2 linked regions of the Lytechinus pictus genome follow. The protein of the gene in region 2 interacts with the protein of the main gene of each other region in a pairwise test. Links are inferred from orthologs where the notes say so. Each region holds a gene or a part of one and is shown on either strand. Other genes may lie near its edges. The genes, in order: myosin-VIIa-like and ubiquitin-conjugating enzyme E2 A.

Region 1 (13,193 bases), on a different chromosome or scaffold from region 2:
TATATTGAGAAAAGGCATTCCCCACATGGCTATATGCTCTATTTAACAAGAATTTGAGGTATTAAAATTGCACACATTTTTTATGATAGAATTTCTTTCAAAGATTAGACCGACTCTTGCCTAGAGCCATACATTTCGACAAAAGGTGAATGAAAGAATTGCATGAATTGTTCAATCAATAGTCATTCTAAAACTATTGTATCTACACAAGAACCATTCACAAAAAATGAAAGATTTTTTTTAATACTATTTTCCCCTTTTCAGGATCCTTAACAGTATTCATAAAGTTCTCTGTTTTAAAGGGGTTAACTCTATAGGCTTTCTTTTTAATTGTAAAGGACAAGTCCACTCCAACAAAAAGTTGATTTGAATAAAAAGAGAAAAATCCAATAAGCATAACACTGAAAATTTCATCAAAATCTGATGTAAAATAAGAAAGTTATGACATTTAAGTTTTGCTTAATTTCACAGAACAGTTATATGCACATCCTGGTGGGTATGCAAATGAGGAGACTGATGACATCATCCACTCATAGCTATTTCTTTTATTATATGAAATAGGGAATATTCTATTTTTCTCCTCATTGTCAAGTGAAACAATGATTAATTCCTCCCTGAACAAGTGGAATTACCATTGTTTTAACATTTTATGGTTCAGTCAAGTTGGTTATCATTGTCAAATCTGTAAAAATTTAAATATTGTATAATTCAAACAATGAAAAACAAAAGAAATAGTGAGTGAGGGACATCATAGCTGTCTCAATTGCATGTCGCTGAGTCGTGCATATCACTGTTTTGTAAAAAAAAAATAAGTGAAACTTTAAAATGTCCTAACTTTCTTATTTTATATCCGATTTCAATGAAATTTTCACTGTTTTGCTAGTTTGATTTTTCTCTATAATTTATTCCAATCAATATTTTTCTGGGGTGGACTTGACCTTTAAGTGCAATATGCATGCAACAATATTTCAAGAGGAATCCCTGAAAATGTCATTCCACAAGCACCTTTACATGCTTTGAAATAATGGCAAAAAAAGTGATTATTTTCCCTTCATGGCTTACAGTGTTAGGCATCCAAATGGATGCTTACGATTGTAGTCATCGTTATCACAGCAATTAACCTTTATGATGTGATTAGAGGAGCTTTTTAAAACATCTCAGGTGATTCCTGTCAGTGTAAAGGTTTGCAGAGTCGAAGAAGAAATAAATAGCTCCTGAGTAAAGTTGAGTGATCCCTTTGGTTTGAATGAAGGTACATGTAAGAAGTGCACAAGTTTGTGTCATTTACAAAGACTAGATTTAAAGGGGAAGTTCACCCTGACGAAAGGTTTGTTGCAAGAATACCAGAAAAAAATAAAAATAACTATTGGTAAAGGTTTGAGGAAAATTCATCAAAGTTATCAGAATTTTAAATTCTTGATTTGTGATGCCAGGTTGAACTTCCCCTTTAAACTGAACATTTTCTCATAAGTACATTATAATATGAAAAATATTCACTGATTTCCAATTATTCAAAAAGAATTATTTTTAGGATGACCAGGATGAATAATTGAATAATTCTTGGGGGATGGGGGTTAAAATAGAAGGAAGTACATTGTGAGTCATATTACAAAATCTTTTCAATAATTTACTCAGCCGATTCATAACTTTTCCACATACTGTACATATGTAATAACACCCATAAAAAGACAAAAACAGTAATAAATTTAAGGTCCTTAGTACTTACAGTGTGTGTACTGTACAACTAATGAAACTGTGTGTGTTATTTCTGTCACAAATTCTGACAAATGTTTCAAGAAAGAAATTCTAGAATTGTACAAAGAGAATGAGTATATCTAAAGTAATTAATATTCATTCAATCCATTATAACGGCTATCCATTCAATTCATTGCATTTTTTATCCACCATATTCATGTACTTTGAAAGCTCAAAGGTCTACGATTTTGTTTGATATATAAACTAGATGGGCTGTCCTCTTTTCTTGAGTAAACAATTAGCTTTTATTCATGGAAATAGCCATGTCATGTTGAGGGGATAACTTCCCAGTTCTTTGCGAAAAAAACTGTTATATTTTGTACTTTGTTCTCTACAAAGAAATAGAAGTTTGTTTTTAGATGAAAATGATTTTGTTTATTATGCAATACTGAAAACATATGTGGAGCTTGAATGAAAGTTATATCACTGTAATCTAATGACTAAAATATTAATTTCTTAAGGTACTTTCACCTTAGTTATATTCATGTATAATAGTTGAAATATCATTGTATTGCAATACAAAAGTTATTGTAAATATAGCAAAAAGAAATTAGAAGAACAAAGTCATATGAATTTGAATTGTTTTTCCTTTTGCTTTCATAATGAAGAAAAATATTTCAATTATCATTCCCAGACAATTATGAATAATTTGAGTGTCCAATAAGTTCATAAATTGAATGTGTACTGTTAGGGATTTTTGCCCCATTTGGCTCTCCATACTTAAACCACAACTTTAAACCAGGGTTCAGTTTTAATAAACCCGAGTTCAGAATACGGGCCATATTGTTTTCAGTCCCCAGAAGAAACTACCAATTCCTGTGGGATTTTATTATACTCAAATAAAATGGCCATGCATAGATGTGGAAAAAAGAAATATTGGACATAATAAAGTAGGCCTACACATATTCAGAGCTGCCAAGTTGTATTTTGCATTTTCATTATTCTTATCCCCCAAAATCAGTATTTTGACAAAAAAATTTGACAAAATTTTGACAAAAAAATTTACCGTGTGAGATAAATATTTTGTATTTTTCCCCCCAAAAGTGTATTTCATAATAAAATGCTTGGCGCACTCGCCCATCACGGCGCTCAAGCTGCATGCAAGCTAAAATGTGCACTGCTCTTGCAGATGAAAAAAAAAAACATTGAAACTTGTGTATATCTCACCCTGGTTTTTACAAAATGATTGAAAAAAAAAAAAGAAGTTACCTGAAATTACATTGATCTAATAACCATATTTGTGTACGTTTTATGAAATAGAGACATATAGAGATGATTTTTCTCAATAAATTTTTATTTTGTAAAAAAAATAAATAACGTACTACTTGGCAGCTCTGCATATTCATTCTTTTAAAAATAAATGTATTGTACATTTTGTACTTGTTGGATTGCAAGGTAGATCTGTAATAAAAACAAATTTGACACCTTGTTCACATGGGACTAATAAAGCAATAATAACACAATAATAATGACTTAATCAGATATACATGTACGAGACAAACACGTACGGTAAGATAATTAGATTTTTAATTATCTGTGTTGCTACTGTACACTGGTACAAACGGAAATGTACAAATGTAATAGTGATATTGAAATATCTAGATATGAAATTAACTGGTCTTGACAGGAACATCAAATAATTATCAAATAATTGCCTGCAAAAGAGAATCATATATCCTAAATCGCTATGGGGGCAGTCCAAACGTTAGCAGCAATAAGTTCATTTTCCCTAAAACCAAGTGTCGGTCAATTATTATACCGTACAGTTGCAAATACTAAACAATTGGTTTCCAATATTCTTATTTTGTAGTGCTCATTAAACTAACAATTTTGTATCTGCTAGGCTGTCAGTCCTCTGGAAAATGTTGGCATATCAATTATAATAGGCCTATACAATAAACTTTGACATGTACAGTGACTAAAATGCAACATTTGGTTCTTTGGTTCATTATGAAAGTGAACCAAGAAGAGAGGAAACGATAAAAAGGGAGCTTTTGAGGGGAAAATATGAATGAACATGGCAAACATTTTGGGGTAGTGTGCAGAAGTTTTTGAAATTACAGCTATTTGCCTTGTTGATTGTATTCTTTTTAAATCATGATGAACAAAAAAAGGCTATATCAATATCAAAATTCTTCACACACTCATGATAAAACCTTGGAAAGTATTCTTTTTATTATGCCAGAAGGGAAAAAAAGAGTTTCAACAGTCCAGTAGGATATCATAGAAAAATTTGCAGGTCAATTTTCAAATGTGACATAAATTTTTATCAAATACTGGGCATCAGCAGAAAAGCAAGACAAGGCAAGATTGATCAATTCCTTGAATTTCTCAGCATGAAATGAGATACAATTACCCTTCTGAACTTAGAACACATAACTAACACATTATACAGAATATGCCAATTAATGGTGAATTTGTTTGCATATGAACGATGCGATGAAGATTGTACTGATCAAAGAGTTCAGTGAAGTTTGTTTAGTTTACTTTAGATAGTGGTAAAACCACACATACCACCCTCTAAATAAATAAATTTATAACTTTATATATGAATATATTATGCTATACCAAATGGGAAATGTATCAAAAGTATATTACATCCATAAATACATCATGAATGTTCTGATTCACTTATACGTTGAAAGTACATTATATCCCTGGTAGGAACGCATTTAAAACTTAATTCTTATCACTGATAAAAAACTTGAAAAGTGAAGATCAAAGTATTTTGTTTAAATACTAAGTTTAAAAATCAAATACCTGTGCAATTGAATATAAATACTTTGTATTGTAATGTCTACTGTGGTAAAATACTAAAATGTGATAGAATTTGAGTGGAATGTCTTTTTTTCATGAATAATATTACCAGGTGATAACACAGTAAACTTTGATGGGAAATTACAAAAATGCATGTTGTTTCATTACATGTACATAATTATTTACAATATCTGTAGTAGTAGTAGTACTTAATTTAACAGAATAGATTAATCAATTATATGCTATAATGAAAGAAAACGGAGAAGGTACCTGTTTCCAGATGGCCAATATTTTCATTATTTCTGCTTAAAACTCTGATCTCTACTTTTACTATACATACAACCTCTGTAGCTATATGTATCACCAAGCTATCTTTTCCAATTTATCTTTTCCAATTTACTCAAAATAAGTATTAACAACAATACACTAAAAGGTAAACTAAACATTGACAATCATCAACCCACTTAGAGTTATTACTTGCCATTAAAGGTGGTCAATTAAGCCCAGTAGCCCAGTCACTCACGTAATTAAATCCGATGTTATCTCTCTCCGATGACCAAATTAACAAACACTCCCCCTTCCGCTTAAAGTTCAATACCAGCCGGTTAGTTGTTGTCGGTGTCGGTCTTTTGCCAATGTGGCAGTGCTGAACTGACTGAACAAATCTCTCTCTTTCTTAATACAGAGATAGACACACACACACCACTAAGAAAACATGCAGCTGGACCACTATGGCTAAGTTCTCAAAGAATACACAATAGTTCTATTCTATGCAAGAATGGATCCTCCTATATTGCAGCGCACGATACTCCCCGGCTTCCCCCCTTTGGTTTAGTGGTAGAAGGTTCATGTATTTCATGCATTGCCATTGGAGCGAGCACACTTGGTATGTACTCTGAGGGGTGCTGCCCAAGCTTTGGGCTGGGCACACAACCAAGAACAGGGGTGTATGCGTAATAAGAGCGAGGGTGAGGGGAACAATAGGCGGCATACCTATATGACAATAGGAGAGCTCAACACAAATATATGTGACTCACTACACAAGGGACACAGTTCAGTGGGCATAGGGCGAGAATAGTCTCCGGAATCAGACCGTCATGTTATTATATAATTATCATCCAAATGGTTGTAAAGTTTATATCGTTAAACTCATCTCCATCCACTAATGTTAAGTTGTTAACAATAAAGTTGTTATGAATTCTTTTTTTTTTGGAACTTTAGATAAAAGTATCGGTTAGCATAATGTGCCCTGAGTGTCGATCTGGGAGACAAACAACAATGGACTTGATTTCTCTTTTTATTCTATCATTTTTGCTTGTAATCTTTATGGGAGAGGTGACGATGACACAAGTTCTTGCCAACAAGAACCTTTTTTGTTCTTTTTTTTTTTTAATCCCACACAAAATGGAAGTACCCTATTAAATAAATCCAGGGCCCACCCTTGCTTGAAAACATATTAAAACATTAGGGCATAAATATATAAAAGCCAAGTTCAAAACAATTTTTTTTCAGACTTGGAGTGTGAGATAATAGATATATGTATAGTAAGTCTACATCTCCCTAAGATAAGACACATTCAACTTGTTAACACTCGATACGAAATGTTATAACAAGTACATGTAGTATGCCACTGAAATAATTATAGCTTCAAAACTGAGAATTGGAAGTAAGTTATATAAAACAAATGCTGACTTAAGTTAAAGTTGATAAGATTCTTTTTATTGTTCAACTTTAAAACTTAACAAATATTACTGGGTCATGGGCAATAAAGGTGACTTCCAGAGTCATTCTAAAGTTTAATATATGAAAATAATGCATACACCTGTAGGGAGGGAGGAAATGATATTCTTGTGATTTTTCTGGCTTGAAAATTATTTTTCCCATGATTAGGATATTTAAAGCGAAAACTTACAAATGATTATAGTTTGCAAATTTGATAGACGCTTATGAAGGAAGGAAATAAATGTAACTTAATGAAATCACTAAGGATAAAACATTTTGCATTGATCCTGAAATTCTGAAGTATATTTTACGGACCAAAACAAGAATTTCAATGACGAAGCAGTAGTCAACAATAAAACAGAGTCTGAAGTGCAAGACTAGAAGTAAACTGTGAAAGAGGCGAGGCAGTTTTGCACCGGGTGAACTTTGCACAGTTTTTATTTATCTCAGATAGGATGATCATCATTCTAAACATCTTCATAATATCTGCCTCGTATCATCGAATGCAAAACATGATTAGACTAAGTTGATGTGCTGCCAGACTGAAGCATCATGGGCCTGTTTCATATTTGCGATAACAGTCAAAAGCTACTGAAATACTGAAATTTGATTGGCTGACTGATGACAGTAAATTTGTAATAGAAACTACAGGTGAATTTGTTGTTATAACATGTCTATTTGAAACAGGGCCCAGATGTAAAATTGCTGAAATAGTTGAAACTGTATAAATTCAAGCTTACTATTATGCTGAGAAACATTAGTCCAGGATAGGCCCCGTAGAAACTTGACCAAACCTTGTTTTCTTATATATACAATATTTTTTAATGGTTTCTTGTCAATTCGAGGGTGCTGATTACGAATCTGGATGATGCCACTCGTGTAACCTTGAGCATTTTCCGCAAATTGGCGAAATCAAATATGGCCGCCAAAATATGCAAATTACCCATAAAAATCCTAAAATTGTCCGCACATTGGCTATGAAATGCATGAAATCGTGTAGCAGGAGTGAAATACTCTCTGAAAAAAATAATTTTTGACAAAATATTTATTTTCTGATATTCAAAGTGGCCGCCATAGGCCCTTGTATACTCTATTATGTACAATATGAATAGGGAAAACTAATTTTCACAAAAATGAGCACTAAACCGCAAAAAAATTGTGATGTATGAACGAAGTAATATATGCAAATCATCATTACTAACAAGATATATCATTTATTATGTCATATATGGGGATATTGCTGTATTTTGATATCTAAAAGCCCCCACTGGCCCAAGAGTATTATGTACAATGGCAATGACCGGGGTCCAAAAAAATGACAAGAGTGAGCACTAAAATGCATATTATTAAGATAAACGAGTGGAATACTGACTAAAAGCATAATTGCCATCATTGCCATTAATATACCATTTATGTGATAAATGCTGTATTTTGACATTCAAAATGGCCGCCATAGGCCCTATATTTATCATGTACAATGCGAAAGGAGAAACTAATTTTCACAAGAGTGAGAATCATAAAATGCATATAACTGTGATATACGAGTAAAAATATTGTCTTAAATATGATTTCTAAGTGAATAGATCACATATTGGTCGTGGAGGTAATAAATGCAGTACTTTGAAATCCAAAATGATTGCCATAGGTCCTAAAAGTATTGTGTACATTGTAACATGGGACATATAATTTTGACAGAATTTGGCTTTGCTTGACTCTAAATATTGCATATAATTGTGAATTGTGAAAGGGTGAAATATTGTCTAAAACCATGGTTTCTACCGAGATATATCATATCATGTGTAATTAAGTTGATAAATGCTGCATTTTAAAATTGAAAATGGCCACCATAGGCCCTTAACGTATAATATACAATATGAGTGGAGACAAATAATGTTCACAAAAAGGGCATATGGCAGCCATTTTGAATGTTGAAATACAGTATTTATCACCTAAATTACATAGGATATGATATATTTTGTTATAAATCATGTTTTCAGACAATATTTCCCTCATACATCACCATTTGGCCAAGCAAAGCCAAATTCCGTTGAAATAATTTGTTCCCATTCACATTGTGCATAGTATCATAAGGGCCTGTAGCGGCCATTTTGACTTTTTAATAACAGTATTTATCACCTAACTGGCAGAATAAATGATATATCTTAATAGAAATTATGCTTTCAGACAATATTTTACTCATAGATCACTATTACGTGCATTTATGGTGCTCACTCTTGTGAATATTGGTTTCCCACTTTGCATTGTACATGATACTGTTAATGCCTATGGCGGCCATTTTGAAAATAAAAATACAGTATTTAACACAAACTTGAAACCTGAATGATATATTTCGTTAGAAAATATGTTTTTAGACAGTATCCCATTAATTTATCACATATATATGCATTTTAGTGCTCTCTCTTGTGATTTCTTTGCTCCTCTTTCTCATTGTGCATAATACTTTTAGGGCCTTTGGCAGCCATTTTGAATATCAAAATAAATCATTCATCACATATATGGCATATTAATAATATATTTCGTTAACAATTATGTTTTTAGTCAGTATTCCACTCGTTTAATCTTAATAATATGCATTCTAGTGATCACTCTTGTGAATTTTTTGGCCCCCATTGCCATTGTACGCAATACTGTTTGGGCCAGTGGCAGCTATTTTAGATATCAAAATACAGAAATGTTCCCATATATGACATAATAAACGATATATCTCGTTAGTAATGATGATTTGCATATATTACTTCGTTCATACATTGCGATTTTTGCACTTTAGTGCTCATTTTTGTGAAAATTAGTTTTCCCTATTCATATTGTACATAATAGAATATACAAGGGCCTTTGGCGGCCATTTTGAATATCAGGAAAATAAATATTTTGTCAAAAATTATTTTTTTCAGAGAGTATTTCACTCCTGCTACACGATTTCATGCATTTCATAGCCAATGTGCGGACAATTTTAGGATTTTTATGGGTAATTTGCATATTTTGGCGGCCATATTTGATTTTGCCAATTTGCGGAAAATGCTCAAGGTTACACGAGTGGCATCATCCAGATTCGTAATCAGCACACTCGAATTGACAAGTAACCATAAAAAACTATTGTATATATAAACAAGTGGAACGCCTCTGGCAGTCTCGCCTGCATTACGCAATTTAATATAGCAGCAGTGTTAACTTTGATAACTACTATAAAATAATCATTCACAAAAACACCATTCATATAATGACATAATACCACGTTCATTGACCATAAATGACATTTGAACGGAGACTTAAGACTGTCAACTACACCCATATCCACATTTCATTCACTCTATCCATAAACTTTCAAAGTTATGATGGCACTTCAACAATTACCCCAACATGGCCTAAGTTTATTGACCTTAACTGACCTTTGACTTGGTTTTGTGACCTGAAACTCACAGGGGATGTTCAGTGATGCTTGATTACTCTTATATCCCAAGTTTTATGAACTACCGGTAGATCCATAAACTTCAGAGTTAGGATGGTAATTCAACAAATACCCCCAACACAGCCAAAGTTCATTGACCTTTAATGACCTTTGACCATGGTCATGTGACCTGAAACTCGTACAGGATGTTCAGTGATACTTGATTACTCTTATGTCCAAGTTTTATGAACTAGATCCATAAACTTTCAGAGTTAGGATGGTATTTTAACATATACCCCCAACACGGCCAAAGTTCATTGACCTTAAATGACCATTGACCATGGTCATGTGACCTGAAACTCGCACAGGATATTCAGTGGTACTTGATTAACCTAATGTCCAAGTTTCATGAACTAAATCCATAAATTTTCAAAGTTATGATGGTAATTCAACAAATACCCCCAACTTGGCCAAAGTTCATTGACCCTAAATGACCTTTGACCTTGGTCACGTGACCTGAAACTCGAGCAGGATGTTTTCTTATACTTGATTAACCTTATGCTCAAGTTTCATGAACTAGGTCCATATACTTTCTAAGTTATGTCATTTCAAAAAGTTAACCTTCGGTTAAGATTTTGAAAATAATTTTCCCAACATGGTCTAAGTTCATTGACCCTAAATGACCTTTGACCTTGGTCATGTGACCTGAAACTCGGGCAGGATGTTCAGTAATACTTGATTAACCTTATGTCCAATTTTCATGAACTAGGTCCATATACTTTCTAAGTTATGATGTCATTTCAAAAACTTAACCTTAGGTTAAGATTTGATGTTGACGCCGCCGCCGCCGCCGCCGCCGTCGCTGTCGGAAAAGCGGCGCCTATAGTCTCGCTCTGCTATGCAGGCGAGACAAAAAACAAGGTTATGCCTCTTCTATCCTGGACTACATGTGCATGTACATGTAGCAAAAAGCTAATAGAATGTACACTAAAAAGATCTCTTGCAATTAAAAAAATATAATAGTTGATCAGTTAATGTTACAATCAGTATATGAAAAAGGCAAGTGTCACTGCCATACATGTACATGTAGAACTTTGTTAACCTCTACCGTGAAAGTGGTTTTAACTAATGTTAAGAGCCTCCTGCTACACTAAGAAAAGAGTATGAATATATTTGCAATCAATTTGATTTTATTTCAATTTTAATCAGGTTACACTCATTGTTGTATGAAGTAATCAATCAGAAATCAAGAGCAAATTTGCAATTAACGCCAATTCTTATGATCGATTTTGGGACCAAAACAGACTTGCAATTAATTGCAAACAACACCCCCAATATAGCAACACCCCAATAGTAATTTTGTGGAGTTTTGAGAGGTATATTGTAAATAAAATGCAACAAACAAGACCTGCCACATAAAGAATGACAAGACACCGTATGGTAGAGTCAGTAAACTGTAATTCATCATCATAAAGTGCTCCCACATATTCACACAAACTCAACATTTACAGGTATGCATTTTCAAAATATGAATTTCCTGACTTGATTGAAATAATAATAATAATGACAATAATAATAATAATATTGATAATAATAATAATGATAATAATAACAATAATAATAATAGCAATAATAAAAATAAAATAATAATAATCATCATCATCATCATCATAATAATAATAATAATCAAAATAGTAGAAATAATAACATAATGATAATAATAGCAATAATAAAAGGCATATATTTATAGAGCGCAATTTAGAACACTTTCAGTTAAAATAATTCATACATATTTCTTTGTTTCTCAGTTTCAGTTGTAAGGTAATTTTATGTTTTGCCCTCTTGCAAAACACACATCCAGAGGCCTATAATCATGTACTGTAGACCAACCATAACACCTCGTGACCCGGAAAAAAGTAAAGTTTTGCAGGTGAAATGTGAAACCCCCCTGGCAGTTTCTCTTGTATTACGCTTACACAGTGCGTATAAAAAAAAACCGGACAGATTTGAAAAATCTATAAAATTTTTGTTTCAAATTATGATGTCCATATTTTGGTGTTAAAAGGTGCTCTGAAGTCTTATCTTTCAAATGTTATTAAAAAGAATTAGTTTCGTTCATGCTTGAGCGAACACGGAATGTTTTTTGTCTGGGGTTAAAAAGGAGGCTTGCGCCAAAATGGCATAAAATGATAAATATGATGATCGGACTTCTTGCTAATCAGCAGACTTCCTCTTAACCATTTCATTATCTTTGCCATAATTTTCAAATTATGTGGTCAAAATTCATTTTCAAATCTATTTATATGCTTGAATTGTTCTGTTGTTTCTTTTTAATATGTTCTCTTTTAGCTTTGAATATTCCTTCTTCAAGCAAAAACAATTTTTTTCGACCAAAGCATGGGAGAGCGTGTATCTTTTTTTTCAATACCTTTTATTGTGTGCTACAAAGGTTATGGTGCCTTTTGAACAGTGCCATATAGATGGGCAGGGGCTCGGGGATGCTCCCCCCCCCCTCAATAAAAAAAAATAATGACCAAGAAAAAAAGTGGAAAGGAAATAAAAGGAAAGATAGAAACCAAAATATATTATTTTCTGAATATGTCAAAATCTATCACAAAATTTGATATTGTAATAAAAAAGTGGGAATATTTGCGTGCTCGCTCACTTCACTCGCTCACAACTTTTCAATACATTTTACCTGATCTGCCATATCTAGCTCCTTCAAAATTGACTCAATACACCATCATTGCTATTGAAAGACATGAATCCCTTCATGTTTGACCTATCAAGCTTATAATTAAACTTGGTCAAGGAATCAATAACCCCTTGAAAAATGGATTCATGTCTTTTAAAGGTACCATAACATAATTTGTTTCACATAATAAAAGGAGATTTGAATAATTACAAGTTTTCCCAATTAATAATGCAAATCTTCTTGCTCGGGTTGACAAAAAGTCTTCTTTTCTTACTTATGAAGGAAAATTCAAAGGTTAAAGAAGTTTAAATGAAAAAACAAAATAATTCAAGTAAATACATAAATTTGTAAATAAAATTTGACAGCATAATTCAAAAATTATGGCACATATAATGAAAAGGTTAAGAGGAAGTCTGCTGATTAGCAAGAAGTCTCAGTGATCATCATATTACTCATATTCTGCCATTCTGGTGCAAGCCTCTTTTTGAACCCTCGACAAAAAGTCCCATGTTCGCTCAAGCACGAACAAAATTTATTGTTTTAATTTAAATTGCATTTCAAAGATAAGATTTCAGAGCATCTATTAACATCCAAATATAGATATTATAATTTGAAACAAATTTTTTATAGACTTTTCAAAACTGTCCCGTTTTTTTTTATACGCACTGTATAGTAATTTTTCTTTGTGACATTCCAAAATAAAATATTTTCTATTTCTCTTTAACCTGTTGAATTTATACTTAATAATAAAGCCAAATAAATAAATAATAAAGTTTAAAAAGGGCCAATGCTTTATGGTGTCCTATTGACTGGTCACATGCCCCATATTATTAGCCTTAGAAGTTTTTTGCTTGCATT
Region 2 (13,166 bases):
TTCATTAATTGGCTCAAATTGAAGCTGAAATCTGTATATTTTATAGAGTGATGTATCTAGGGCCCCGTCTTACAAAGAGTTACGATTGATCTGATCAACCTCAAGTATATGGGAATCCATCAATGTCATAACTATTTTCTTTAGGAAATTTGCACAATGTCCTTTGAAAACAAAAGCATACCTAATTGTGAAGAAAACAGTGAATATACCACGTCATATCTAGAAAATATTTTGAAGAACCATGTATTTTAGATGTTGTCGTTGCTGGCTTTCCATAGTTGTGATTGATTGGATCAATCGTAACTCTTCATAAGACGGGGCCCTGATCTAAAGTAATTTGAATTTGAATTTGATAGCAACCTCACTGACAAGCTACATGTATGACCAGTGTGCTAACTGATATACCTGTATGTCCATGGTACCCACCTCTACTACATTACGTACCTTGCTGCTCTCAAAATTATATTACCAACAATGGTTCTAACAGTAATTTTCAAAATAAAATTGCATTGCTCTCTTAAACCAGGCCAGGTTTTGGGGGGCGTTAGCTGGCCGGGGGGGGGGGGGATGACATATTGACTGCCAATCGCACGAATGCCATGAAAATTGGCAAGGTACAGGTGTTAGATGTAATCTACAAGTTAGTATGGTAAAATTTTCCAAAAAACAATCATATTTTTGTTTATAAATAAGACTTAATTTCTAATTTATGCGTAAATTATACTTTCTTGCTCTAATTCACTAAAAAAAGCTTCTATAAATGCTATTTTTTGTGTTAATATTCTTTAAACCAAATAAATTACAAATAAAAAATCCTGGTTTGAAAATTAATTTCTTATGTATTTTATTGTTTTATGAACATGTATTCTTTGGTTTTTTTTGCCAAATTAATAGCAAAACCTTTTTGAAGCATATTAATTTCAACTGATGAAAGTAAAAATAATCACAAAATCACATCTTTAAGCAATTTTTGGTCAAACATTCACTTACATGTACCTAATGTTGCGTAATTTTGTAACCGCGTACCCGGGCATTGCAAATTTGGTCTCATATGTTGTGCGAGATTTGAAAGTAAAAAGTCAGCGAGCAACGCGGTTGAAAAATTTCATGTGGCAGATTTATTGTGTAAAATGTAGAGGAAGGCAGAACCCACCTTCCCCCCCCCCCCGACCTTTTAGGGTTAAAGGTCAAGTCCACCCCAGGAAAACATTGATTTAATTAAATAGAGAAAAATCTAACTTGCATAACGCTGAAAATTTCATCAAAATCGGATGTAAAATAAGAAAAATATGACTTAAAATTTCGCTTATTTTTCACAAAACAGAGATATGCACAACTCAGTGACTTGCAAATGAGACAGTCAATAATGTCCCTTTACTTACTATTTCTTTGTTTTTTATTGTTTGAATTATACAATATTTCATTTTTTACAGAATTGACAATAAGGACCAAATTGGCTGAACCATATTGTATTAAACAATGCTAATTCCAAATGTTCAGGGACAAAATAATTGTCATTTCACTTGAAAATGAATAGAAAATTAGTAGATTTCCTATTTCATATAATACACAAGAAATAGTGAGTGGATGACGTCATCAGTCTCCTCATTTGCATACTGACCAGTATATGCATAGAACTGTTTTGTGAAATTACAAGAAACTTCGAAATGTCATAACTTTCTTATTTTACATCCGATTTTGATAAAATTATCTGTGTTTTTCTTGATTGATTATTCGCTTTTTATTCAAATCAACATTTTGGGGGGTGGACTTGTCCTTTAAGCATAAACAGTTAAAGAATGTCCTTTTTCTATATTATGTACTATCACAGTGACAACCTTGCTAATAAAAAGTAAATTGAACTTACCATCTTCAAATGGGGTGTCACGGGGCCTTTGATAAAGGAAAGACAAAAATGTATGGATTTCAGAATATTGTCATTCTTTTATATTTTGAATCAAATCCCTACAAACTGAATTTTTGTTTAAAAATTCAAATAAACAAATATCATTTATACTGAACTGCATGATACATGCACTTGATGCATATTCAGGATATTTTGTGAAATGAAATCCTGTATGACAGCAATGACAGGAAAAAGGAATACCACACTATTGTCATACATGTACATGTAGAGTATAAACTGCAAACTCATTTCCATAACCATGTTTGAAGGGTAATCTACACATGTTCACCAGGCTTGTGCGTATCCATGTTGCAAAGGGAAAGAAAAGATCCCGCTATTATGAAGACTTACATGTCATTAACTAATGAGGATAGGCATTTGAAATAGAATATTATTGCTGCCACCAGCATGATGATATGAGCAGTTTTATCAATGCTTACAGTTTATTAGTCCATGAAAGAGGAATATTCTAAAATAAGAAATATATAAGGAATTACTCTTGGGTAAGCAGTAACTTAATGTACATGTACAGTAAAACCCAGGGGGGGGGGGTGGCCAGTCAAATATATTGCTGTACACATGTGTGAGTCCCAAAAAAATGCAAATAAAGGGGTGTTTTTTCAGTTTTGGACTTGGGCCGCGCGTGCACTCGTTAAGGGTATAAAAAACACCCCTTTTGAAAGACTGGTCGATCGCGGGGTCAAACATATTTAGGGTATGTTTACTTTATTTTTCCTAAGCTTTTTAAACATGTTGAGGGTATGTTTTTTTTCCCCAAGCTTTTTCCCCGGGGTCCTATTCTGGCGACAACTTGTTTTGTAAGGGCCAAAATGTGTAAATAAAGCCTGCAAAAAACTTGTATAGGGGGTTATTTTGCACACAGAGAAAAACTCGTTTAGGGGGTGTTTGGAAATAATTTGGTCACGCATGTGTACAGCAATACATTTGACTGCCCCCCCCCCCCCCCCCCCCCCCGAGAGTAAAACTTACCCAAATATAAGAGCATTCCATAACATTATGTTATTTTCTGAAGGTGCACCACTCACGCCAGCTGGTGGATCTTCTTGTAATCTGACAAGAAAAAAAGTTAAGACATTCAGAATGGTCAATATCACACTTTAACAAGGTTGATAGTACAAAACAGCCAAAATGATTTTCCAGCCCTTGTTTACATGTACATGTATGCAGTGGTCCCTTGCTCTGTGCGATTGATACAAAAAAGATTAACCTCACATGATGCTAGCCAGGAGGTGTTTGGAGAGTAAATTGCGAACACGATTTTAATCTCTTAAAGACGCCTGGCACTTGTATCAGTCGCATGTTGCAAGAAATATCTGCATGCAATTGTAAACAAGGTCCAGAAAAGTCAGAAACCATTTCTCGGCCCCCAACGGTAACATTATACACTTGTACTTGTAAAAATACAATTTATTTATCATATCACATGTTTTGACAACGTGGCTATTGAAATCCTGCTTATTTTTTTCAAAAAAAAAATAAAATCATAATCATAACAGTTTGCATTGTATGGATGACGATCAGCCAAATGATTGCACTCCACAACAAAATCCAAGATAACAATGTAATCATCAGCGAATCTTCATGCAGTTCCTAAAAAAAAACTTCCCCCTCAGTAGCATTTTTGAAGTCAGAATTTGGTCAAAACATGCAGAGTAATATCATATTTTTACAAGTTAAATTTCTCCATCTCATCTGCCAGCAGGGATATTGTTTTCCAGATCTTGTTTACAATACATGTGGACAACTGGAGATGTGTTTGGTCCAAAAAAAGAGGATCGTCCCGGTAAACAAGGATATATCCTCATATTTTTAAACCATGAGAAATCATGTCTTGATAGATGGAAATTAATTGTCCTTGTTTATGGGGAAAGTTTTATTTTCATTTTCCTATGTGGGCTTTATAGAAAGCACTTACGGAAATTGAGAGTGCTAAATAAAAAAGGTTATGAATGGGTGAGCAGACATGGGGGACCATGTTTTGTTCAATCTGAATTTGACTGCCCAAAGTTATTTCCAAGAAAAATCATATGCATGTATTTCTCTCATTTTTTAATGAGATATTTGGCACACTTACTCATGATAAAGGAACATTATCAAATGAAAGATTCTGCGCCATAAAAGAAATTTGTGTTCAATTTTAACTCAAATCGTTAGATGCGCAGACTAGTTTGGGCCTGGGGAACACCATAACTTAAGTTGAATTTTGAACATGTTTAGCCTACACATGTATGGCTATGCCATATATATGGCCCTGCTTCAGTCCCAGCTAACAAAACAGAAAATGTCCAACACATAATTTACAGTGCAATAATCTTAATGCGTCACTATCAACTGCACTCACACGTATTGCGAGGTTAGTATTAGTACACTAACCTCGCACCACGAACCGCGTTTGGCAGTGGATTTCTAACTAGTGGGTCGCGCGTGCTGGGATCTCACTTCTTGGGTCCACAACACACGACTTCTATGGCTTGAATTTTCTGTGCGCGGCGGCATGTAATGAACCCTTGGGTGTGTCAACTGTGACGTGAGCGTCGCGTAAAGTTGGGGAAGTACAATAAGAAACAAGATGGCGGCGTAAACATCGGGCAAGTCTCTTCCGTCTTTTCACAATATTTTTTCATTTTTTTGATGAATTCTTGTTTTCAAAATAACAACGAGAGCATAGAAATGTCGGAAATGAAGTTTTATCCCATTTACATGATTTAGAGCTAGATCTTTTAGAAGGAAAGTAGAAATCTCGGGGGCGAAAGTTTCAGGGTTTTTTGCGGTACACGCAGATGAATGGGGAGGAATGCCTGGCTTCGTATGAGAGTAACCTTACGTTAGTAAATGATTTTTACTCTCTAGAAGCCGCCTGGCTAGACATGAGTTGACATGACAATGACAAAAACCATTAAAACATGAGAGGTTTTGCCTTTTTGGAACAAAATAACAAAACTAAATAATTAAAGATCTTCACAGTAGTTCACTCATTTCTCATGAAGAAATGATATTATCCAATAATATAGTTCGCCTTTTACAGGTTAAAAATTTAAAAATGTCATCATCACTGTCAGTCGTGCAGGCAATGCAATGTCGTGAGAAACGATTCTCCAGCAATCTCAATTTGTCAATTCATTGCAAGTCAACTCAAGCCTGGCCCTGGCAATGGTATTTGCACTTACTTTTTAAAATCTCTCATGAGTCGCCTTCTCGCCGGTGTAGACATTTTATGATAGATATACTAAATATCCAATAAATATATATACAAAGAACAGTCCACCACTCCTCAAACTTCTCAAAAACTTGATTTCATCGTCGTTACGTCCGCATCGGTGATGACTTTTTCTTTTGCATAGGCCCTACATGTACACTGCATGGATATGCACTGCACTGCACTATAGCGATATTGCACATACAGAGACTGTGTTTTCATATACGATGACCTCATCACAGAGAAAAACCATTAATTCCCACAATGCAAAAATTTCACAGAGATACGATCTTACGTATACGTAAGCTCCCGAAGGGAGCTAGAGAGGGAACTCTTTCCGCGCGTTTTTTATTTTCCATAGGTTTTGTACATAACAAACATGGCTGCCATTTGGCCAATTTGAAGGTTGATTTTGGAAGGTCAATGTTTAATTCATGAGTAATGACGTCAAAATACGCATAATGCACTTGTATGATTGGATAAAACGCTAATGTTTTATTCATGTCCTCATGCATTAAACATTTTTTTCCATCCCACAATTCCCTACGATATCTGTGCGAAGTGTTGTTCTTTTTGACTCTGCGAAATTCAACTTTTTGAAATACAATAGCAAGACTAATTATCTGTTTATAGAATTAGTGTCCGGAATCATGATTTCTGAGTGAAATTCAGTTGAGCAGAAAATCTTTGAGGGAACATCTACATCAGAGTAATGGCATTCCATGCAAATAAAAGTAAGTGAAGTTCAAATTTTGTGCTTTGATCTCAGTTGTAATTGTAATGTGTTTGCTGAGGTTCGGCGTCGCAGTCAGGGCCTTACTAGTACCGTACGTAAACCACAATTTCCATATTACCATTTCTTTTTCCTGATCCCAAATAAATCTGAGATCTGACTGACATATTTTCTCAGAAAATAATACAGTTTTTCCTAGAACTAAGTTGGTTAATTGGAATGCTTCATGTCCGTCCTTAATAAATCTATATCAGGGGTAGATGTGGACTTGTTCAGTATCGGCAAAGCTGCATCAAATTTAAGCCAAATAATATAGTCAGAGCGGGATACGGCCATTGATACCGCCGGTGCCAGCCGGCTGCGAAATTGCCGATGTAGGTTAGGTCATTAGGTGTTGGGAATTTTAGTGTCAAACAAGCTTGAGTTGAAGTTTAAAGTTTGGCCTGGGCCTAATGATTTTTTGACACCGCTATTTCATCTTCATATGGATCAATATAATTCTCTGCATTTAAAAAGAAATTGAATTAAATTTAAATGAACTAAATCTATTCGGAATGATATCGGTAGATTTTGCCCATGGTCATGACTCATGGAATGATTTGAGACAGATTTTAACGTTAGTCTTTTTTTTTACTAAAAGTAAGGCCCTAGGGATAGGTCTAACTTAGATCTAGATTTCTAAAAATAAAATTCTAGATCTGTCTGGTTCGACTTTTTTCTCAAGATTTAAGTTAACTTTATTCTAGTCCCTGCCTGGATCACCGTTGGACTAAAATTATAATTAGTCATTAGACTCTAGCCTAACATAACGGAGTTAAATTAGTATTGTTTTTTTTTGGGGGGGGGGCCAACATTTCTTTGTCAGGTTTCAAACTGCTCAATTATCGTATACCATGAGTGCAATTTTTATGGGAAGGGATTAGAAAATTTATAGTGCCCCATTTTGAATTTTATAAGTATAAGCAGAGAGAGGGGCTGATCCAATTGATTTATCTTTATTGTCTTCCTCACTTTACCTTATTTATGGTGAAAAGCAAAGGATCATTTAAACTTGCGAGCAAGCTAACCTCTTTTTAAATCAAAATCAAACTTAAATAGGAACTTACTTAGACGTAGAGATTCACATGCTTATAGACGAGTGCAAAAAATTAAATAATTGTTTTGCACTGGTGAATGAGCGAGAGCCAAATTATCACAAAATTAATAATTATTCTACATCTGTCAAAGCTGGATTGGTGTATATATATTGAAGATTGACAAAAGGCCTCAGGCTCGCTATAGTAGGCCACGTATGCTTGAACCATTTACTGACTCTTATTGACAATGAAGATGGTCAGTGGAAACAGAGCCAGGTATGCCTATTTCGTCAGTGGAACATGATACAGAGAGAAGGAAGTTTTCGGTTTAGACCAGCTTTTTTTCTAGTTGGGAACTTTAATAGGATATGACTAGCTGGAAATTTTGAAAATATTGTTTTAAAAGAGGAATTTTGTGTATCACATCTAAAATTCTAAACTGTTAAGTATTGTGTGTATTTTGAATTGCAGATCCAATAGGATCAAGTTCTTAGCAGTCCCAGCCTAGTCAGAAGTACAAAGTCAACTACCATTTGCACATCACCAAGAGTAACAATCTGATGAGGAATAGGATATCTGAACTGAAAACTTGCAAGGTATGCTTGTTTTCGTAGAAAGGCCCCCTATTTCCTTTTTTTTGGGGGGGTGGGGAGGTGGAGGGATATAGCAACTTTTCTGAATCATGTTATCCCATATAGTAACGCTCCATTGTGAGTTAATATTTATTTGGATTCAGATTCACCAGTATTTCCATTCTCATCAATGCATACTTATTATTCATGTCTCTTATCTATATTAGTCATACATGAAATAACTTTGAAACTCAGTTACTATGTAGACAGAAATAAAAAGGACAAAATATTGAGAGTAATCTTATATATATTTGAATTATTTTGCACACTTAATCAAAAAAGATCTATGAAAAACGATCTATAAATAGTGATCTATGATTTTTATCTGGCTATATAGATTACTACATGTGCATTATCTAAATAATATTTTGCATGGAAGAGTAGGGCCTAATAAAAAGTTTTAAACGTCTTAATAAACTGGACTAGATGAGTGAGAATAATTATTATTCAGCAGCTCATTTTGTACTTTCTCTTTTTGTTTACCATGCAGGTTTCACAGGCTGTTTTAGTACCACCAGGACAGATTAAGAAGAAATATGGAGGCCAAGTTCATAACAAGTAGTTACTTAATCACAATTACACATTTTAAAAATTGAATGAATTTGAATATTGTCAATACATATTGAATTTTGCTTAAACTACACATCTTTAGAAAAAAATAGCATTGGAGTATAAATATTTAGGTCCATAGGTTTCACACAAGATTAAAATATATTCCCAAAGGGCACACCTACCCACCCATTATTAATGTTCTAATCATCTAAATGTAGTACTTATAGTAGTGAAAGAACTTTTAATGCTATTAGTAGTTTGAAAGGGATAGTTTGTATTCTGGTAATAAAATCAATTCAGAATGGGTCTTTACTGAGGTCTGGGCTATGTAACATACATGCCTACAGAAATACACAAGAAAATAAGAAATAATGGATTTTCATTGAAAAAATGTGCATTCTAAAAAAACAAGGTTACAGAACAAAGGATTAAGAAATCACTCTCACTCCTGGACCCCATTTCATTACTAGACTAACCACTATTCTAACGTTGCCATTCTGGTAATTACCGTGGAAACAAGCAACAGATCATCAGTGAGGTTCCCATGCTAGTTGCTAGTTACAATTGGGGCAAATTTACCATAATTCAAGTCTTTATGAAACAAGGACCTGTAGTGCTGGACATTAACTGTTGAATTTATTTTTTGGGGAAGTGAATACCTATGAAAGTGAATATACATACTCATTTTTTTCGATTTTTTTTTTCTCTAGATTTTACCTAAAAAATTACATCCGTTCCCTTGTAACAGGCTTGCAATTTCTGTTGCATTCATTATATGCATTTTGCTGATGTAATGTGATGCTTTGGCGAGAACAAAAGGATAGGAATATTTTTATCACATATTTCAAAAATTGATTGCTTATTAAACATTTTAATTTAAAATATACTTTCTAATCTTCATATTCGTGATTTATTTAATCCACCAATTCATATTGTGTGAAAGATAAAGTGATGATGATGTTATTGCTACCAAACTGTGTTGTGATGAAATATTTAGATGATGGTATGATGATAATGAAGAATACTTCTATATGACTGGAATATGATGGTGCTATACTGATTGATTGATTTTGTTTGTCAGGTATCTATGGGTATAATACTAGTACAACAGGTAAGAGTATAACATAAAGTATAAAAATACCATGCATGGCAAGATAGCCCATAAAAGCTATTGCAACATGGCATACTGTGACATTTTATGATCAGGCACAGCCAAAATAAATATTCTTCCTGAAGAGATAAACCAATTTGATTTAAGAGTGGGATAGAAATAAAATGATATGAGAATAATTGTTTGCTCGCATGATTATGTGGTATGTGTGTGTGTGGAGGAGAGAGAGGGGGGGGGGGTGGGTGAGATTGATAGATTTAGGGGGCGGGCAGGTACAACAATTTTATATTGTTTGGAAGTCACCTTTATAAGATAGCCTTGATGAGAGCAAATTCATGCTGGGGGATAATGGGCTGCCTTAATTTTGCTCCAAACCTAAACTCAGATTTTTCTAAAAATCTTCATAAGATTTGCAACAGATTGTTCATTTCAATTTCAAAATAAAGACAAAATGACCTCCTGATTGCTTTGCTCTCTTGCTCAGATTTCTCTGATCATTTTAAGCATTTAACCCCAAAAAAAAAAAAAAAAAAAAAAACCAAACAAACAAACATATATATGGCTATTCGTGATGTATAATTAAAAATGAAAATAATATGCAGTGATGTCTGTGATGAACACCTGATGAATAGAGCAAGCAGATCCCTAAGTTCAATCCTATTAATGAATCCTTTGAAAGCTTCCATATCTCTTTCAGGGAAATAGCTAGCAAATAAATAATTGTATTAATTGATGTAGTAAAAATCGCGACAGATAATAATTATTAAAAATATGTAAACAAGAAAAGATGAATAAACAACTGAATACCGGGGGGTGAACGGGGAATGAATGACGTAATCCACCTTAAAGACGCAGCTCTATGAATTCATTTCATATGCAATCACGTCGCGCATTATGCTAATTAGTGACACTATACTTATTTGCATATTTTTACGCTGTGCGCGCAGGCCAATTATGACCACGCCTCCGTTTTGCTGGTGTGCCATGAAGTTGTGGTGTCCGTAGGCTTGTACGCGAAAAATGGGAGCAGTGTGCACTTTTGACCTTCCAAAATTTCCCCATGTCTAACCGGATGCAGAAGCGGAGTTTCACCCCCCTGAAAAATTTGTTGAATAGCCCCATCTGCGTCCAGATTAGAAGTTATAATTTACGTTCCATTTTGTTTTCCATTTTCTAAATCTACAATTCTTTAGATTTGGTTTGGACGGGGGTGTGCGGCTAAAGGTTCAAAACTCACCCCCATATTTACGGGTCATTTTGGCCAAAAAGGTACCCATTATTAAGGATTTATCAAAATGTGACAAGCAAGCAACCAAAAAAAAGCAACCAAAAAAAAAAGGTTGTAACCCAAAATTGGGCTTTTTATCATGGCCCCCGGTCCGCATGTGGCGCCGCCCATCACCACCACCAACACCACCACCACCACTGCCACCATCATCATCACCATCATCATCATCAACATCATCATCGTCATCATCGTCATCATCATCATCGTCATCATCATCATCGACATCATCATCATCGCCATCATCATCATCACCATCATCATCATCGGCATCATCATCACCATCATCATTGTCATCATCATCGCCATCGTCATCATCACCATCGTCATCATCATCATTGTCATCATCATCATCATCGTCATCATTATCACCAGCATCGTCATCATCATCATCAACATCATTATCATCATCGTCATCATCATAGTCATCACCATCATCATCATCACCATCATCATCGTCATCATCACCATCTTTATCATCATCACATTAACTCAATGCTTCATAATGAAGTTGATATTTACAGACTAATTGCTTTGATACCAATGACAAAATTCTCGTTCAATTAGTTATAATTTGCTTCGTCCACTTTCATTTCTTAGAACACTCACTGAAGTCTCAAGCCCTCACTGAATAATATCTTTTTTTATTTTTATTTATTCACAAAAACGTTTGAACATTTGCAAACAAAGTAGTAACACGCATGCTCAAGCCCAATGCAACATGTAAAAAAACATAATGTAAACAATTACGGATTTATGATAATATTAATAACGCAATTCTTGTATAACGCATATCACATTATGTCATAACGTCCCTATGCGCTTCCAAAAGGACTTGGATATTATAACCCTTGCTTTAGCCCCGCAGCCTTTTACAGCGCAGTGGCATTTCAAGGAATAAATTCCTGCCAGGTACCCATTCATCTCACCTGGGTTGAGTGCGGCACAATGTGGATGAATTTCTTGCTGAAGGAAAATACGCTATGGCTGGGATTCGAACCCACGACCCTCTGTTCAAAGTCAGAAGACTAATCCACTGGGCCCCAACTACTACTACTATACTATTACTACTACTACTACTACTACTACTACTACTACCAGTGGCGTACCATGGTTTACGGCATGGGGGGCACCAGCAAAAATTTTGAGTCACTCAGTGAGCGCGCGAAGCGCGCTCAGTTGCAACGTATACTGACCTAATATACTTTTTAAGGACAATTAAACGGATATGTATCTCACTGATCAAATAATGCGAGCGCGAAGCGCGAGCTTAAAATTTTTGATATTCAGACCTAAAAAGGGACATTATAAGCCAATTTTGTTATGATACGTACCTGTCTTGCTAAACAAATAACGCTAGCGCGAAGCGCGAGTTGAAATTTTTGTATATTTTGACCCCTAACAGGCATATTTTAAGGACCGTATTTTTAAGGAATCCATTAAGAGTACATATCTCACCATAGTAATCTAATCGAGTGCCAAGCGCTTGCTGATTTTGTTAGAATTACGTCTAAACACATGAATTACTTTTTGTAGTCATTGTAATCATGATTATCATACGCATCTCACAAATCAAATATTGCGAGTGCGAAGCGCAAGCTGAAAATTTTGGAAATTCAGACCTGAAGAGGGAATTTTTGTAGGAATTCACTAAGATCATACGTATTTCACAAACCAAATTATGCGAGCGCGAGCTGAAAATTTTCGATATTCAGATCAGAAAAAGGAACATTTTAAGGACTGATTTTAGGAATTCATGAAGATCAGATATATCTCACCAATCCACTATTGCGAACGTAAGCACGGATAAGAAATGTTTTATATGATGACCTTAGAATGTGGCAATCGCTTTAAGTTGTCATGAAAAAGAAGTATATGTCACTACATAAAACAATAATAACTCGAAGTGCGAGGAAATATATTTGGTGTATATTGACTTGAAAACGGAAGGTTTTAGCACAACAGGATTATATATCTCGCTAAACAGACAATACGAGCACCAGGAACAATGAAGACATAGGCCCTGAGCAAATTATGTTTCATAAAGATATGAAAAAAAAAATTCTTATGTAATATAACAATACAAAGTTATAATAAAATATAAAATTATAATGAACAATAATTTTTTCTTTCCCACTACGTTTCTCTTCCTTTCTCCCACTTTTTCTCCTTTTCCCCGTATTTTTTTGGTTAGCCGATTGGGGGGGGCACGTGCCCCCATGCCCCCGTAGTTACGCCACTGACTCCTACTACTACTCCTACTACTCTTACTACTCCTACTAGTACTGCTACTACTGCTACTACTACTACTACTACTACTAATACTACTACTGCTACTACTGCTACTACTGCTACTACTACTACTACTACTACTACTACTCCTACTACTCTTACTACTCCTACTACTACCACTGCTACTACTACTCCTACTACTCTTATACTACTCCTACTACTACTACTACTACTACTACTACTACTACTACTACTACTACTACTACTACTACTACTACTACTACTACCGCTACTTCTACTACTACTACTACTACTACTCCTACTACTACTCCTACTACTACTCCTACTACTACTGCTACTACTACTACTACTACTACTGCTACTTCTGCTACTACTACTACTACTACTACTACTACTACTAC

The links.
Region 1: the proteins of ubiquitin-conjugating enzyme E2 A (region 2) and myosin-VIIa-like interact in a two-hybrid assay, tested with the Caenorhabditis elegans proteins (2 studies listed by BioGRID). The link is inferred for Lytechinus pictus from reciprocal best matches to the Caenorhabditis elegans genes ubc-1 and hum-6.

Annotation. Positions count from the first base shown.
Region 1 is NC_087260.1:11,315,874-11,329,066, forward strand, and holds the start of myosin-VIIa-like, read right to left. Parts: upstream 5,483-13,193; 5' UTR 5,036-5,482; exon of another isoform or gene 4,994-5,035; intron 1-4,993. UniProt on the Caenorhabditis elegans protein: Myosins are actin-based motor molecules with ATPase activity. Unconventional myosins serve in intracellular movements. Their highly divergent tails are presumed to bind to membranous compartments, which would be moved relative to actin filaments.
Region 2 is NW_026974140.1:10,329,894-10,343,059, forward strand, and holds the start of ubiquitin-conjugating enzyme E2 A, read right to left. Parts: upstream 5,516-13,166; 5' UTR 5,139-5,515; coding exon 5,095-5,138; intron 2,978-5,094; coding exon 2,897-2,977; intron 1,894-2,896; coding exon 1,868-1,893; intron 1-1,867. UniProt on the Caenorhabditis elegans protein: Catalyzes the covalent attachment of ubiquitin to other proteins.